2 linked regions of the Saccharomyces cerevisiae S288C genome follow. The protein of the gene in region 2 interacts with the protein of the main gene of each other region in a biochemical or structural test. Each region holds a gene or a part of one and is shown on either strand. Other genes may lie near its edges.

What was found. Proteins that work in one complex are often made in the same cells at the same time.
Region 1: of the proteins of ORM1 (region 2) and YPK1, one has a biochemical effect on the other in vitro, tested with the Saccharomyces cerevisiae proteins (2 studies listed by BioGRID).

What each region holds. Positions count from the first base shown.
Region 1 is NC_001143.9:203,707-207,306, reverse strand, and holds the start of YPK1 (serine/threonine protein kinase YPK1), read right to left. Parts: upstream 1,601-3,600; coding exon 1-1,600. Other genes in the region: phosphoglucomutase PGM1, read right to left, coding at 2,054-3,600. UniProt on the Saccharomyces cerevisiae protein: Plays an essential role in the proliferation of yeast cells. Involved in a signaling pathway, required for optimal cell wall integrity, that acts in parallel with the PKC1-SLT2-dependent pathway.
Region 2 is NC_001139.9:555,214-566,042, reverse strand, and holds ORM1 (sphingolipid homeostasis protein ORM1), read right to left. Parts: upstream 5,362-10,829; coding exon 4,693-5,361; downstream 1-4,692. Other genes in the region: long-chain fatty acid transporter ACB1, read left to right, coding at 6,049-6,312; CAX4 (dolichyldiphosphatase), read left to right, coding at 7,175-7,894; YGR035W-A (uncharacterized protein), read right to left, coding at 8,257-8,478; YGR035C (uncharacterized protein), read left to right, coding at 8,621-8,971; 60S ribosomal protein uL24 RPL26B, read right to left, coding at 9,371-9,735, 10,213-10,231. UniProt on the Saccharomyces cerevisiae protein: Component of the SPOTS complex that acts as a negative regulator of sphingolipid synthesis. Acts by inhibiting serine palmitoyltransferases (LCB1 and LCB2) activity.

The sequences.
Region 1 (3,600 bases), on a different chromosome or scaffold from region 2:
AGACTCCCAATGTCCACCAATCTACTGCCTTTGTATAGCCTAAACCTAGCAATAGTTCTGGTGCCAAGTATTCTGGGGTCCCACAAAAAGTATCTGTCTTATCATCATCCTTCATATTCAATTTGCATAGCCCGAAATCACAAAGGGCAATGTGGCCTTGATAATCCAATAAAATATTCTCTGGTTTCAAATCACGATAGACAACATCTAGTTTATGCAAGTTGTCTAGCGCACATAACAATTCTGCGGTATAAAATCTGGCACGTGATAAATCAAACCTTCCTTCCTTTTGTAGATGATAAAACAACTCACCACCATTGATAAACGCTAAAACAAAGTATAATTTTTCCGGTGATTGGAAAGAAAACTTCAAAGGTACAATAAATGGACAATCAACACGTGCTAGAACGGTTCTTTCTGCCAAAGTATGCGTGACTTCGGATTTAGAGACAATGTATGATTTTCTGATTGCCTTCAAAGCGTATACTTTTTGTGTATCTTTCTTTCTGACTTGCATCACTTTACCAAACGAACCCTTACCGATAACTTTCAAAAGATCGAAATCATCGATGGACAAAGGTTTATTTCTGGAAGGTTTATAATCAATACTAATATTGATCTTACCCAAGCCATTATCCAATGTGATCCAGTGGTGATTATATAGTCTAATACTAGCTGCAGAGTCAAAACTTAAGTTGATGGGCAAATGGAAAGAATCTAAATGTATATCTTGATTGGAATTTATTTTATCAAAAATGGTCTGTAGCTTCTCGTCTTGCAAACCCATCTCCTGTTGCCATGTCTTCGAGGGCAAAAGAATGGACGGAATTCTTGCAAATACATCAATCTTTAAATAAGGTAATTTCCTTGTCACATCAAAGGTAGATATCTTATTGAAACCAGGTTTAGCGATCGTACCATACTCTGCTTCAATAGTTGCAACTGTATTATCAAATTCAATGGTGAAATATAGTAAGGGATTTAAGGTCGAAGACCCTGGTAACATGATAGTAGATGGGATGAACTTTGCTGCTGACTCGCTAGAGATCAAATCTTCATCAGCTGGACCTTGGTTCTTTATTTGAACACGGGACAGTTGTGCAATTAAAGCATCTACTTCTTTACTAATCTCCTTATGTGGCGGTGGAACACCCGAGGCCAATAGTTTATTCAATATTTGCTCGCTTGAGGTAATCGGAAAAGGTAAAATAAAGTCATCACCATTATATACTTTGATAGTCATCATTCCTGAACTTGAGGTGGCATCATTGGGTGTCCCTGTAGAACCAATATTTGCTGTTTCATCTAAATTTTGAGATGAGTTCGTGTTTTCTGAATTACCACCATTTGAATCTCGTACAGTAGAGGTCGATGAGGATGCATCGTATGAAACACGAACCGGGACCACTGATGAATTTGATGGATTTATCGTGCCCTTCCTGTCTAAAGATGAACGAGTAATTGAAGCATCATGTTCCCCCGCAGTTGCTTGATTATTCTGCTGTTCTTCCTTTTTAGAGGAGTGAAAAAACCCACTATGTTTGGCTTCTTTTTCTTCTTTAGATTTTCCAAACTTAAACTTTGACTTCCAAGAATACATTTTCAGGAACTGTATTAATGTTTGTTGATATGAGAGGAACTTTGAAGTGTCAATTTCCCGCTGTATACAAAGAAATTGTAGAGTAATCTATATCAAAGAATATAAAGGCTTTGAAATTTAACCAAACACAAACAAACCAATTCTAAAAAGTATGGGAGCGAAAAATAACTCAACTGTTGTTGGTATGACGATAGTGTTGATTACCGTTGGCTCGTTCGGGATAAGCATTTTTTAAGCCTTCCAATAGGGGCATGTTTTGATCTTGTTTTCCTGTAGCGCGGCTCTGCCGCGAAGAAAGTCGCGAGTAACGAAAAACAAAAACAATGTTGTATTATGAAGCTAATTGATAAGTCAATCAGCAAAAAATAGATATACTACATATATCCTCTACATATAAATTAAGATCAGTTAAAACATCTTTGGAAAATTAGTGCTTGTTCAAGACCAATAATTCTATGTGCGGACTGTTGGTTCGTCTGTTCCTAAAATTTCTTTAAATCTTAAGAATTTTACAATGGAGTTGATGACGGGTTTCAAGAAGACGTCAGCTGTTTGGCCATAGTTCTCCTTTTTATCAGTATACTTTTCTACGTATAATCTTATTGTTGCACCAGAACTGCCTGTGCCGGATAACCTCAAAACAAATTTAGTCCCATTCGAAAACTTTACGAAAAGGCCTTGATTTTCAGAGATGGAGCCATCTAGATCTCTATACGAAAAATCACCACAATCGATAACGGTTAAAGACTCATCAGCTGGGAAGTGGGAGCCACAAACGTTTGGCCTTGATACAAATTCACTCAAAAGAGCTACAACTTTTTCGGCCTGCTCGCATTCGATATGTTCGTAATCGTATCTTGTGAAGAAAGTACGGCCATACTCGTTCCAAAATTCGTCCTGAATAGTTTTGATCGAAGCTTCCTTTTCAGGGTTACGCCTATGGTAGATAGCCAAGATATTTAACCAAGCAATAATGGCCCATAGACCGTCCTTTTCTCTGATATGATTGGAACCTGTACCGAAGGATTCTTCACCACAGATTGATAGCTTTTTAGCATCAAATAAGGCACAGAAGAATTTCCAGCCGGTTGGAACTTCGTAACATCTTAATCCCTTTTTTGCTGCAACACGATCAATGGCTGAGGATGTAGGAAATGAACGTGCCAAGCCATAAATACCTTGTTTGGCGAAGTATGGAATTTCGGGTGCATATTCGGCAATAATGGCAACAGAATCACCTGGCGAAACGAAAGCAGGGCCATAACCGTAAATCATATTCCTATCACCATCACCATCGGAGGCTGCTCCAAAGGCAATTTTTTCGCGGTCAACCCTGTCAACAAGAGTTCGTGCATAGGTTAGATTCGGATCGGGATGTAAACCGCCGAAATCAGGTAAAGGGTGCCAATTTTGAAGAACTTCCTCTGCCGGTAAACCAAATTCATCAACAAATATAGCCTTACCATATGGTCCTGTAATACCATTTAAGGAGTCAAACAACAACTTCCACCCTTTGTCTTTGCGCTGTTTCGCTAAGAAGCTTTTAATTAAGTCAAAATCAAAAATTTCCTTCAGAAATTGAACGTATGCTTTGGCAGGATCAATTATGTCCACTAACAATGGGCCATATTTTTGGTTTTTACCAAGCTTGTTCAAATTCAACTTGGGGAAGTTCTTTATAATTTTATAGTGAGTTAATTTTTTAGACGCTTCCCAGATAGCGTTAGTGACACTCTCTGGAGCTGGCCCACCATTAGGTAAATTATACTTGATACCTAAATCATTCTCTGGACCGCCTGGGTTGTGTGAGGCAGTTAATATGATACCACCACCGGTACACTTTTCCTCGTATGTTCTAATTATATGAGAAGCAGCTGGTGTTGAAAGTAAACCGCCTTGACCAATGACTAACTTTCTGACACCGTTTGCAGCACCTACTGCGGCAATCTTGTTCATGATAACATCGTTGTAGAAACGACCATCTCCTCCAACAACTAAAG
Region 2 (10,829 bases):
ACACTCAGCATCATCTAATCCTGGCATAAACGTAGTTGATGCTCAAAAAAGAAATATACCAATTAACGCTATTGGTGACCTACAATTTCACTTCCAGGACAACACCAAAACATCAATAAAGGTATTGCACACTCCTAACATAGCCTATGACTTACTCAGTTTGAATGAATTGGCTGCAGTAGATATCACAGCATGCTTTACCAAAAACGTCTTAGAACGATCTGACGGCACTGTACTTGCACCTATCGTAAAATATGGAGACTTTTACTGGGTATCTAAAAAGTACTTGCTTCCATCAAATATCTCCGTACCCACCATCAATAATGTCCATACAAGTGAAAGTACACGCAAATATCCTTATCCTTTCATTCATCGAATGCTTGCGCATGCCAATGCACAGACAATTCGATACTCACTTAAAAATAACACCATCACGTATTTTAACGAATCAGATGTCGACTGGTCTAGTGCTATTGACTATCAATGTCCTGATTGTTTAATCGGCAAAAGCACCAAACACAGACATATCAAAGGTTCACGACTAAAATACCAAAATTCATACGAACCCTTTCAATACCTACATACTGACATATTTGGTCCAGTTCACAACCTACCAAATAGTGCACCATCCTATTTCATCTCATTTACTGATGAGACAACAAAATTCCGTTGGGTTTATCCATTACACGACCGTCGCGAGGACTCTATCCTCGATGTTTTTACTACGATACTAGCTTTTATTAAAAACCAGTTTCAGGCCAGTGTCTTGGTTATACAAATGGACCGTGGTTCTGAGTATACTAACAGAACTCTCCATAAATTCCTTGAAAAAAATGGTATAACTCCATGCTATACAACCACAGCGGATTCCCGAGCACATGGAGTCGCTGAACGGCTAAACCGTACCTTATTAGATGACTGCCGTACTCAACTGCAATGTAGTGGTTTACCGAACCATTTATGGTTCTCTGCAATCGAATTTTCTACTATTGTGAGAAATTCACTAGCTTCACCTAAAAGCAAAAAATCTGCAAGACAACATGCTGGCTTGGCAGGACTTGATATCAGTACTTTGTTACCTTTCGGTCAACCTGTTATCGTCAATGATCACAACCCTAACTCCAAAATACATCCTCGTGGCATCCCAGGCTACGCTCTACATCCGTCTCGAAACTCTTATGGATATATCATCTATCTTCCATCCTTAAAGAAGACAGTAGATACAACTAACTATGTTATTCTTCAGGGCAAGGAATCCAGATTAGATCAATTCAATTACGACGCACTCACTTTCGATGAAGACTTAAACCGTTTAACTGCTTCATATCATTCGTTCATTGCGTCAAATGAGATCCAAGAATCCAATGATCTTAACATAGAATCTGACCATGACTTCCAATCCGACATTGAACTACATCCTGAGCAACCGAGAAATGTCCTTTCAAAAGCTGTGAGTCCAACCGATTCCACACCTCCGTCAACTCATACTGAAGATTCGAAACGTGTTTCTAAAACCAATATTCGCGCACCCAGAGAAGTTGACCCCAACATATCTGAATCTAATATTCTTCCATCAAAGAAGAGATCTAGCACCCCCCAAATTTCCAATATCGAGAGTACCGGTTCGGGTGGTATGCATAAATTAAATGTTCCTTTACTTGCTCCCATGTCCCAATCTAACACACATGAGTCGTCGCACGCCAGTAAATCTAAAGATTTCAGACACTCAGACTCGTACAGTGAAAATGAGACTAATCATACAAACGTACCAATATCCAGTACGGGTGGTACCAACAACAAAACTGTTCCGCAGATAAGTGACCAAGAGACTGAGAAAAGGATTATACACCGTTCACCTTCAATCGATGCTTCTCCACCGGAAAATAATTCATCGCACAATATTGTTCCTATCAAAACGCCAACTACTGTTTCTGAACAGAATACCGAGGAATCTATCATCGCTGATCTCCCACTCCCTGATCTACCTCCAGAATCTCCTACCGAATTCCCTGACCCATTTAAAGAACTCCCACCGATAAATTCTCATCAAACTAATTCCAGTTTGGGTGGTATTGGTGACTCTAATGCCTATACTACTATCAACAGTAAGAAAAGATCATTAGAAGATAATGAAACTGAAATTAAGGTATCACGAGACACATGGAATACTAAGAATATGCGTAGTTTAGAACCTCCGAGATCGAAGAAACGAATTCACCTGATTGCAGCTGTAAAAGCAGTAAAATCAATCAAACCAATACGGACAACCTTAAGATACGATGAGGCAATCACCTATAATAAAGATATTAAAGAAAAGGAAAAATATATCGAAGCATACCACAAAGAAGTCAACCAACTATTGAAAATGAATACTTGGGACACTGACAAATATTATGACAGAAAAGAAATAGACCCTAAAAGAGTAATAAATTCAATGTTTATCTTCAACAGGAAACGTGACGGTACTCATAAAGCTAGATTTGTTGCAAGAGGTGATATTCAGCATCCTGACACTTACGACTCAGGCATGCAATCCAATACCGTACATCACTATGCATTAATGACATCCCTGTCACTTGCATTAGACAATAACTACTATATTACACAATTAGACATATCTTCGGCATATTTGTATGCAGACATCAAAGAAGAATTATACATAAGACCTCCACCACATTTAGGAATGAATGATAAGTTGATACGTTTGAAGAAATCACTTTATGGATTGAAACAAAGTGGAGCGAACTGGTACGAAACTATCAAATCATACCTGATAAAACAGTGTGGTATGGAAGAAGTTCGTGGATGGTCATGCGTATTTAAGAATAGTCAAGTAACAATTTGCTTATTCGTTGATGATATGATATTGTTCAGCAAAGACTTAAATGCAAATAAGAAAATCATAACAACACTCAAGAAACAATACGATACAAAGATAATAAATCTGGGTGAAAGTGATAACGAAATTCAGTACGACATACTTGGCTTAGAAATCAAATATCAAAGAGGTAAATACATGAAATTAGGTATGGAAAACTCATTAACTGAGAAAATACCCAAATTAAACGTACCTTTGAATCCAAAAGGAAGAAAACTTAGCGCTCCAGGTCAACCAGGTCTTTATATAGACCAGGATGAACTAGAAATAGATGAAGATGAATACAAAGAGAAGGTACATGAAATGCAAAAGTTGATTGGTCTAGCTTCATATGTTGGATATAAATTTAGATTTGACTTACTATACTACATCAACACACTTGCTCAACATATACTATTCCCCTCTAGGCAAGTTTTAGACATGACATATGAGTTAATACAATTCATGTGGGACACTAGAGATAAACAACTGATATGGCACAAAAACAAACCTACCGAGCCAGATAATAAACTAGTCGCAATAAGCGATGCTTCATATGGTAACCAACCATATTACAAGTCACAAATTGGTAACATTTTCCTACTCAACGGAAAAGTGATTGGAGGAAAGTCGACAAAGGCTTCGTTAACATGCACTTCAACTACAGAAGCAGAAATACACGCAGTCAGTGAAGCTATTCCGCTATTGAATAACCTCAGTCACCTTGTGCAAGAACTTAACAAGAAACCAATTATTAAAGGCTTACTTACTGATAGTAGATCAACGATCAGTATAATTAAGTCTACAAATGAAGAGAAATTTAGAAACAGATTTTTTGGCACAAAGGCAATGAGACTTAGAGATGAAGTATCAGGTAATAATCTATACGTATACTACATCGAGACCAAGAAGAACATTGCTGATGTGATGACAAAACCTCTTCCGATAAAAACATTTAAACTATTAACTAACAAATGGATTCATTAGATCTATTACATTATGGGTGGTATGTTGGAATAGAAATCAACTATCATCTACTAACTAGTATTTACATTACTAGTATATTATCATATACGGTGTTAGAAGATGACGCAAATGATGAGAAATAGTCATCTAAATTAGTGGAAGCTGAAACGCAAGGATTGATAATGTAATAGGATCAATGAATATTAACATATAAAACGATGATAATAATATTTATAGAATTGTGTAGAATTGCAGATTCCCTTTTATGGATTCCTAAATCCTCGAGGAGAACTTCTAGTATATTCTGTATACCTAATATTATAGCCTTTATCAACAATGGAATCCCAACAATTATCTAATTACCCACATATATCTCACCTTCAGCATCTTTTTCCCCATTTTTTTACTTGTAGTATAGATTGTTGTTTACGTGCACGATTAGCTTCTTCAAACCAGGAAACAGCAATGTATACATTGGCAACTTGGCCGAGTGGTTAAGGCGAAAGATTAGAAATCTTTTGGGCTTTGCCCGCGCAGGTTCGAGTCCTGCAGTTGTCGTTATTTTTGAGTTTTCCGATGTCTATTTTGTGATAATAGTATTAGAAGCAGTACGTGAAATAGTGCTAATACTATCTGTTATTCTTTTTGAATAGAATATGATTATATGAATTAAATACAATTTCAACAAATAGGTTTAGAAGGTGCATTAATATGGAATTTTTTCAATTTTTGTTCACATTCTTTTTCATTTACATAAATGAAGTCCGAAATCCGTTGTTGGCTTTTGAAATTTCAAAGCGTTAGTGATTTGGCCCAGAAAATATAAATATAGCAAAAACATCTAGATACAAGATTGAAATAAACTATGTTCAACTAATTTGGGCGCGACCTGTGATACCTGGGATAGAAATCCTTAATCTATGAGTAACAGGTAACTTTGGGACAACAGCACCAAAGGTTGTCAAAAAACAATTCCATGAAAACAATTTCAAATCATAGTGAGCATAATGAGTACTAACTAAGAATAGGGCGATCGGGACACTAATCAAAAATTTTCTTGAAGGAGTATATAAAGTCTCGTCGTCAATTTGTTCCCACATCGTCAAGTTGTCATAAGCACCACCATTGAAATCGAAAGGGGTACCCTTAATCAGATGGAACATGACATAGGACCCAATAACATATGTCATATTAGTCAGAGTCCACGACCATTCTGTGGTAACACCAGGAAATAAATTATAAAATAGTTTCAGCAGTATGATAATGACCACATGAATAATCCAAGCGCCGCGTTGGTCTACCCAAGTAGCATTCATATTTGGTAGAAGTTGCTGGTCATTTTCATCTTCAAAAGTCTCCGGTTCCACATGTGAAATTATGCTGGAAGAACGCCTTCTTCTATGATCTTTCACAGGTTCCGTCGTTTTAATTGATGAAGATGCACTGCCTGCAGAAGGAAACGGCTTAAGGTCCGTTTGATTTCGACTATACGAGGTAGAAGCCGCCTCAGCAGTTCCTTGATAATCTAATTCGGTCATTAACTAAATGGATAAAAATGCAATGAAATACAAAATAAGAATAACTCTGCTTTTTAGAGAATATGTGGTAAACAACAAAAGGTAGTTAGGGAAATTCAAAAAGGGAATATCAAGCAAAGGAAGATGTTATCGATCAGTGAATTTTTCTTGTTTCGTGAATCCACTGAAATATCTGCATCTGAAGGCGAGATCTCATGATAGTTTTCTAAGGTCTTAAAGTGAAAACATAGGCATTTCACTATACCCGATAGTTGTCGGGTAACGGCTTTGAGTCTACGATGGTTTATATACCGCAGCTCCGTTAGCAAAGGAATAGAGGAAACTCGAAACAGGTAGTCTAGCAATTTGTGTAGGGACTAAACATATTTCGACTATTCTCTATAATCCGTTCCTAAACTACATGCCACAAACTCTCGTATTGAAACATTCCATTAAAAAATGACCGTCGGAAGAGATTACGGCCTTGGTGCCTGAAGACAGGTGGCGCTGGCGGCCCTACGCGCTCTCTGACACGTCCGCAAACTCAACAGCTCCAGGCCAACTCCCCAATGACCGCCATATATATAGCTAGCTTGGATCAATTGGTCTGTCTCGGAAGCAAGTACGTTATGTACATCATTTCACTGTGTGAAGCAAAAGAAGGAAGACTAAAACTCTAAAATTAGTTAAACTAGTGTTTTCAGCAAAATGGTTTCCCAATTATTCGAAGAAAAAGCTAAAGCCGTCAACGAGCTACCAACGAAGCCCTCCACTGATGAATTATTAGAATTGTATGCTCTGTACAAGCAAGCCACTGTAGGTGACAACGACAAGGAAAAGCCTGGTATTTTCAACATGAAGGACCGCTACAAGTGGGAAGCCTGGGAAAACTTAAAAGGTAAATCCCAGGAAGATGCCGAAAAGGAATACATTGCCCTTGTTGATCAACTGATTGCCAAGTACTCCTCTTAGAAAAGGGGTATACTAGCTCCATGTAAGGAGTTTTGGCCTAGCTTTCCTTGTTACTATTCTATTATTATATTTTATTGGCTGCAAAAACGTGACTTATGTACATTTATAAATGCCCATATCCCTTACTACTCTCCCTGGGGACAAGGCGTAATAACTGTTAATAAATGCATATACTCTGTTCTATTTAAATTCTCGGGGTTCGCTGGAATATTGAATCACAATTAGGGAGATTCGCATGTAATTTACGCCGAGAATGATACTGATTTGTGTTGAATATGACAAGGTTTAGCGGAAACACGCTCTTGAAATTTTTAAAGATATTTTCATGATTTATATACAGACTGATCTGTATACATTTTTATATTGTCATACATAGGCTTTAATAACTACTCAGTTTTTTTTGATGGCGGCAGAAGCAGCGCTTTCATTGCTCTACACAAATCCGCAATTCAAGTGACAGACGCCAAACTAGTGGTACAGTACACTTACTGAAGCGCACCATGTATACCCTGATCTACATCTAGAGCTTGTTCAGTTTTTCTTTATGCTTTTAATTACGCCAGGAAGAAAACCGTTCTTACGTGGTGGATGAAATAGGAGAATTCGGGTTTCTGGGAAAACTTAAAATTTCTTGTTGGAAAAGTAGAAAGAAAAAGAAAAGTTTGCCTTCTGAGAAAATGCTACATATGGTAGAGACATCAATCGATTGCTCAACACGCGTTAAAAAGGGGAAAGTGATTGCCACTGTGATCACTTTAAATCATTTCTTCGTTCTCATTCTTTTCGTCTAATTTTCTTCTCTACCACTCATTATACCAGGCATTTTATCTACATCAAAATTTGTTTTGAATCGGATCATATCATGAATAGTACCGCCGCTGCAATAAATCCAAATCCAAATGTTATACCATTCGATGACACATACATTCTCTATGATTCGCATGACTTTCTATCATTCCTTAGTGCATATTTCTCGCTGATGCCCATCCTAGTGCTAGCTTTTTATTTGTCGTGGTTTATCATCACAAGAGAGTTAGAAGCCTGCATTGTAGCCTTTGGCCAATTGATGAACGAAATATTCAATAACGTGATCAAGAATATAATAAAACAGCCACGCCCCGTATCGTTCGGTGCGTCGTTCCAAAATGACACTATAAGATCCGGTTACGGGATGCCCAGTGCACACTCCCAATTCATGGGGTTTTGTTTTACCTATAACTCTCTGAAGATATACACTTCCTGGAAGAATCTAAACTTCTTAGAAAAATGCATTTTTTCTGGTGCATTGGCTTTATTATCGTTTTGCGTTTGCTTTTCCAGAGTTTACTTGCACTACCACAATTTAGATCAAGTAATCGTGGGATTCAGCGTGGGGGCACTGACTGGATCACTTTATTTTTTTATAGTTGGCATCATAAGAGAGCTTGGTTTAATCAATTGGTTTTTAAAACTACGTATTGTCAGATTATTTTACATGACAGATTCTTACAATCTGGCGCCTTTGACATTGAAAGAGAATTACGAGGCGTATTGGAAAAGAATAAATCAGCGATCTTTCAATGATAAATCCAAAAGGGATTAGGTTGAACATTTCATTTTTCTTATTTTTTCATCTATTTTAGCGAGGCGATCTTGAGCGTTTGTGTAACTGGATAAAACTTGGCAAGCTGGAGTAGTCCTTATTTCTCATAAAGAAAGCCGAAAGCCTGCTCTCCTACAGTTATTAATTAAGAACGCTCGTTTTAAACAGTTACTGTGTAAAGCGACGGTAATCGAAAAAGTATGTGACATCGTGCAAAAGAAGATAATCAAAACCATGCAGAACGTAGAATAAATGTGAGTTCTATCACTTGCGGAGATAATACCCTCTGACGCCGCGGGGCCGATTGTTCCACGGAGGGAAAGAATCGGCCCTCGGGTTTTACGAGAGCGCCGCGGGTGAACTCACTTTTTTCTCGAGAAGAAGTTTCCTACGGCAGAATAAGACCCTTTTCCACGGATAATCAGCGGAGCTTCTGGACATAATAGATGGTTTGTGAAAAAGCTTAAGGAAAGCCGCGGATTTAGCATGTCACCCACACTTAGATTACGAAAGCAAGGATTGCAGAAAAAAAGATGAGATACAGTTTTGAGGGCAATATATAAAATATATAAATATAGCAACATTCCCTTCTCTCTGTTATGTCCACAATACTTCTAAAAGTTGTAACATATATCTATACATAAAAACTTGTAACAAACATATAATTAAAACAACTAGTGACAAGACGGAAGTTATAAGTTATCTTCTCTACAGAAACAATACGTAATGTTACTCACACCAGCCAAGACTACAAGAACGGAAGACTCAGCAAACTCAACAGATGACAGCAGTAAAAGCAGTAATTCATTCATGCGTGCCATAGTTTCTTCCCTTATGGTTAAGCCCATAACATCTCTGACTAATACAGTCACATGCAGACAAAGTTCCCATCACAATAGCTCTCCAAGTAAAATCACAAGATATGATTTAATCAAAGCTGCTGCTGAAAATGACTTGAAAAGGAGTAAGTCTCAGGGACGAGAAAAATCCAGAAGAAACTCTAATCGTAGAAATAATGAAGAAATTTTTGTGGCCAATACTGCTTCAGAAATCCAACGGACTAAAAGTAGCATATAGCAACCCTGAGGTCAATGTGCTTAACTACTTCTTTGCATCTTCATTGTCTCTAAAAAGATTCATATCCTCATATCCATTCGCATCTTACTCATCTTCATAATCACCCTATGTACATATATATATTGTCATAAATATACTAATAATTAACAATCACATTTTAATATTGGAAGTTTTCTCATTTTCTTGCATTGAATTCATGCATCTGCCGCTCAGCTAGAAACAAGCGCATTCGTCTACCAACCAGCCCTTGAGACCCGAAGGCAGAATGTGAGAAATTACAATTTTATTTTTAAAGAAACTAAACTAAACTAAATTGAAATTGATAAAAAATATACATAAAAGAAACACAGGATTTATTTATTGTATTTTTTGTATGATCTATGTTAAAGTCGAGCTAGTTTATTCCAATTTACCACCCTTTCTTTGGATCAAAGCCTTTCTGTCCTTGTCCAAGTGTAACTTAGTGATAACAAGCTTGGATGGGTGCAAGTTAATTGGAACGGAAGCACCGTTGACCTTTTCCTTGGTGACCTTGTCAACTTGAACAGCAAACTTCAATCTGTAAACAGATGAAATCTTACCTTCTTGACCCTTCTTGGAACCACGAACAACCAAGACTTCATCGTCTCTTCTGATTGGCAAAGCCTTGATACCATATTGAGCTCTCAATTCCTTGGATAATGGAGCAGATAACAAAACACGACGTTCAGAGGATGGAGCAGTGAAATAAGCCTTTCTGGCCTTTCTTCTGTCAGAGGAAACGTCTATTGAAAACAAATAATAAAAAAATTTGTTAGTAAAAGCAAAACTTTTTTTTCACAATGAGCACATAATTTTCATCCACACTTAAATCTATGTTGCCCCACATCCAACGGAGTATGCATTTCACAAATCAATATAAACGGTAACTTCCTACTTTTCTTCTATCTCCTCTGCGTACTCACGTTTTTCAATATTGGATTCTAAAGCCGGAATTTATGTCAGCAATACACAAGCTTAAAAATCGTTGAGTGCTAAATAGTCGCCCTATGCCTGGATTGAATATGCAAAAGCTGTTTCTTTTTTTTTTTTTTTTTTTTTTTTTTTTTTTGGCTTAGGTACATTCCTCCTCATCATACACATTGTTTTACAATAATTTAACATTATTCGATTAATTGTTCTCTTGCATTTTATGTTAACATTTTTTCGTGGACGGAAATTCACTCATGTTTTCTATCGTTATTCGTATCCTCCAAACATACCTAGAGATTGCTTAGCCATATTTGATATATCTTTGGTCTTGCCGTTGTTATTCCTTAAAAAAGAAGCACTGAGAACGGGCTAATACTTTAAAACAGTAGCCAGATAGCTATTGCTACTATTAATTTCCAAACACTATGTGTGTAAACGTATGAGATTTCCCATCCACGGCGGCCACCGTCTACTGACAACCCATCCTAAGCACTGACAATCTGAAAATTTCCAGATCTCTGTGAGTCCCTCAAGCCGAGGACAGCAGAAAAAAAATCAAAGAGATATGATAAAGCTCCTATTAAACCCAAACACCTTTAATGCACGGGTGTAAAAGGGATGTACTGGGCATCTTTCGCTAAGTTACAAAATGGGCATTTCTTATTTTATTGTCTACAAGAATTTTTTTTATAAAAATAACAACTAGGGAAACAAACAAGAAAAATTTATAATATTCATTGAATTTCTGTGACTTTATTTTAATTTTTTTTTTTCCTATTGGTCAACAAGAAAAAAAACCGGATAATACCAGGTCAGCTTCGAACCTGGACATGAAAAATGACGGAATACTGCTCTACCAACCACTGATCTAGATGAGTAGGTTAAATTTTTGGCCGCGAAAAAAAAA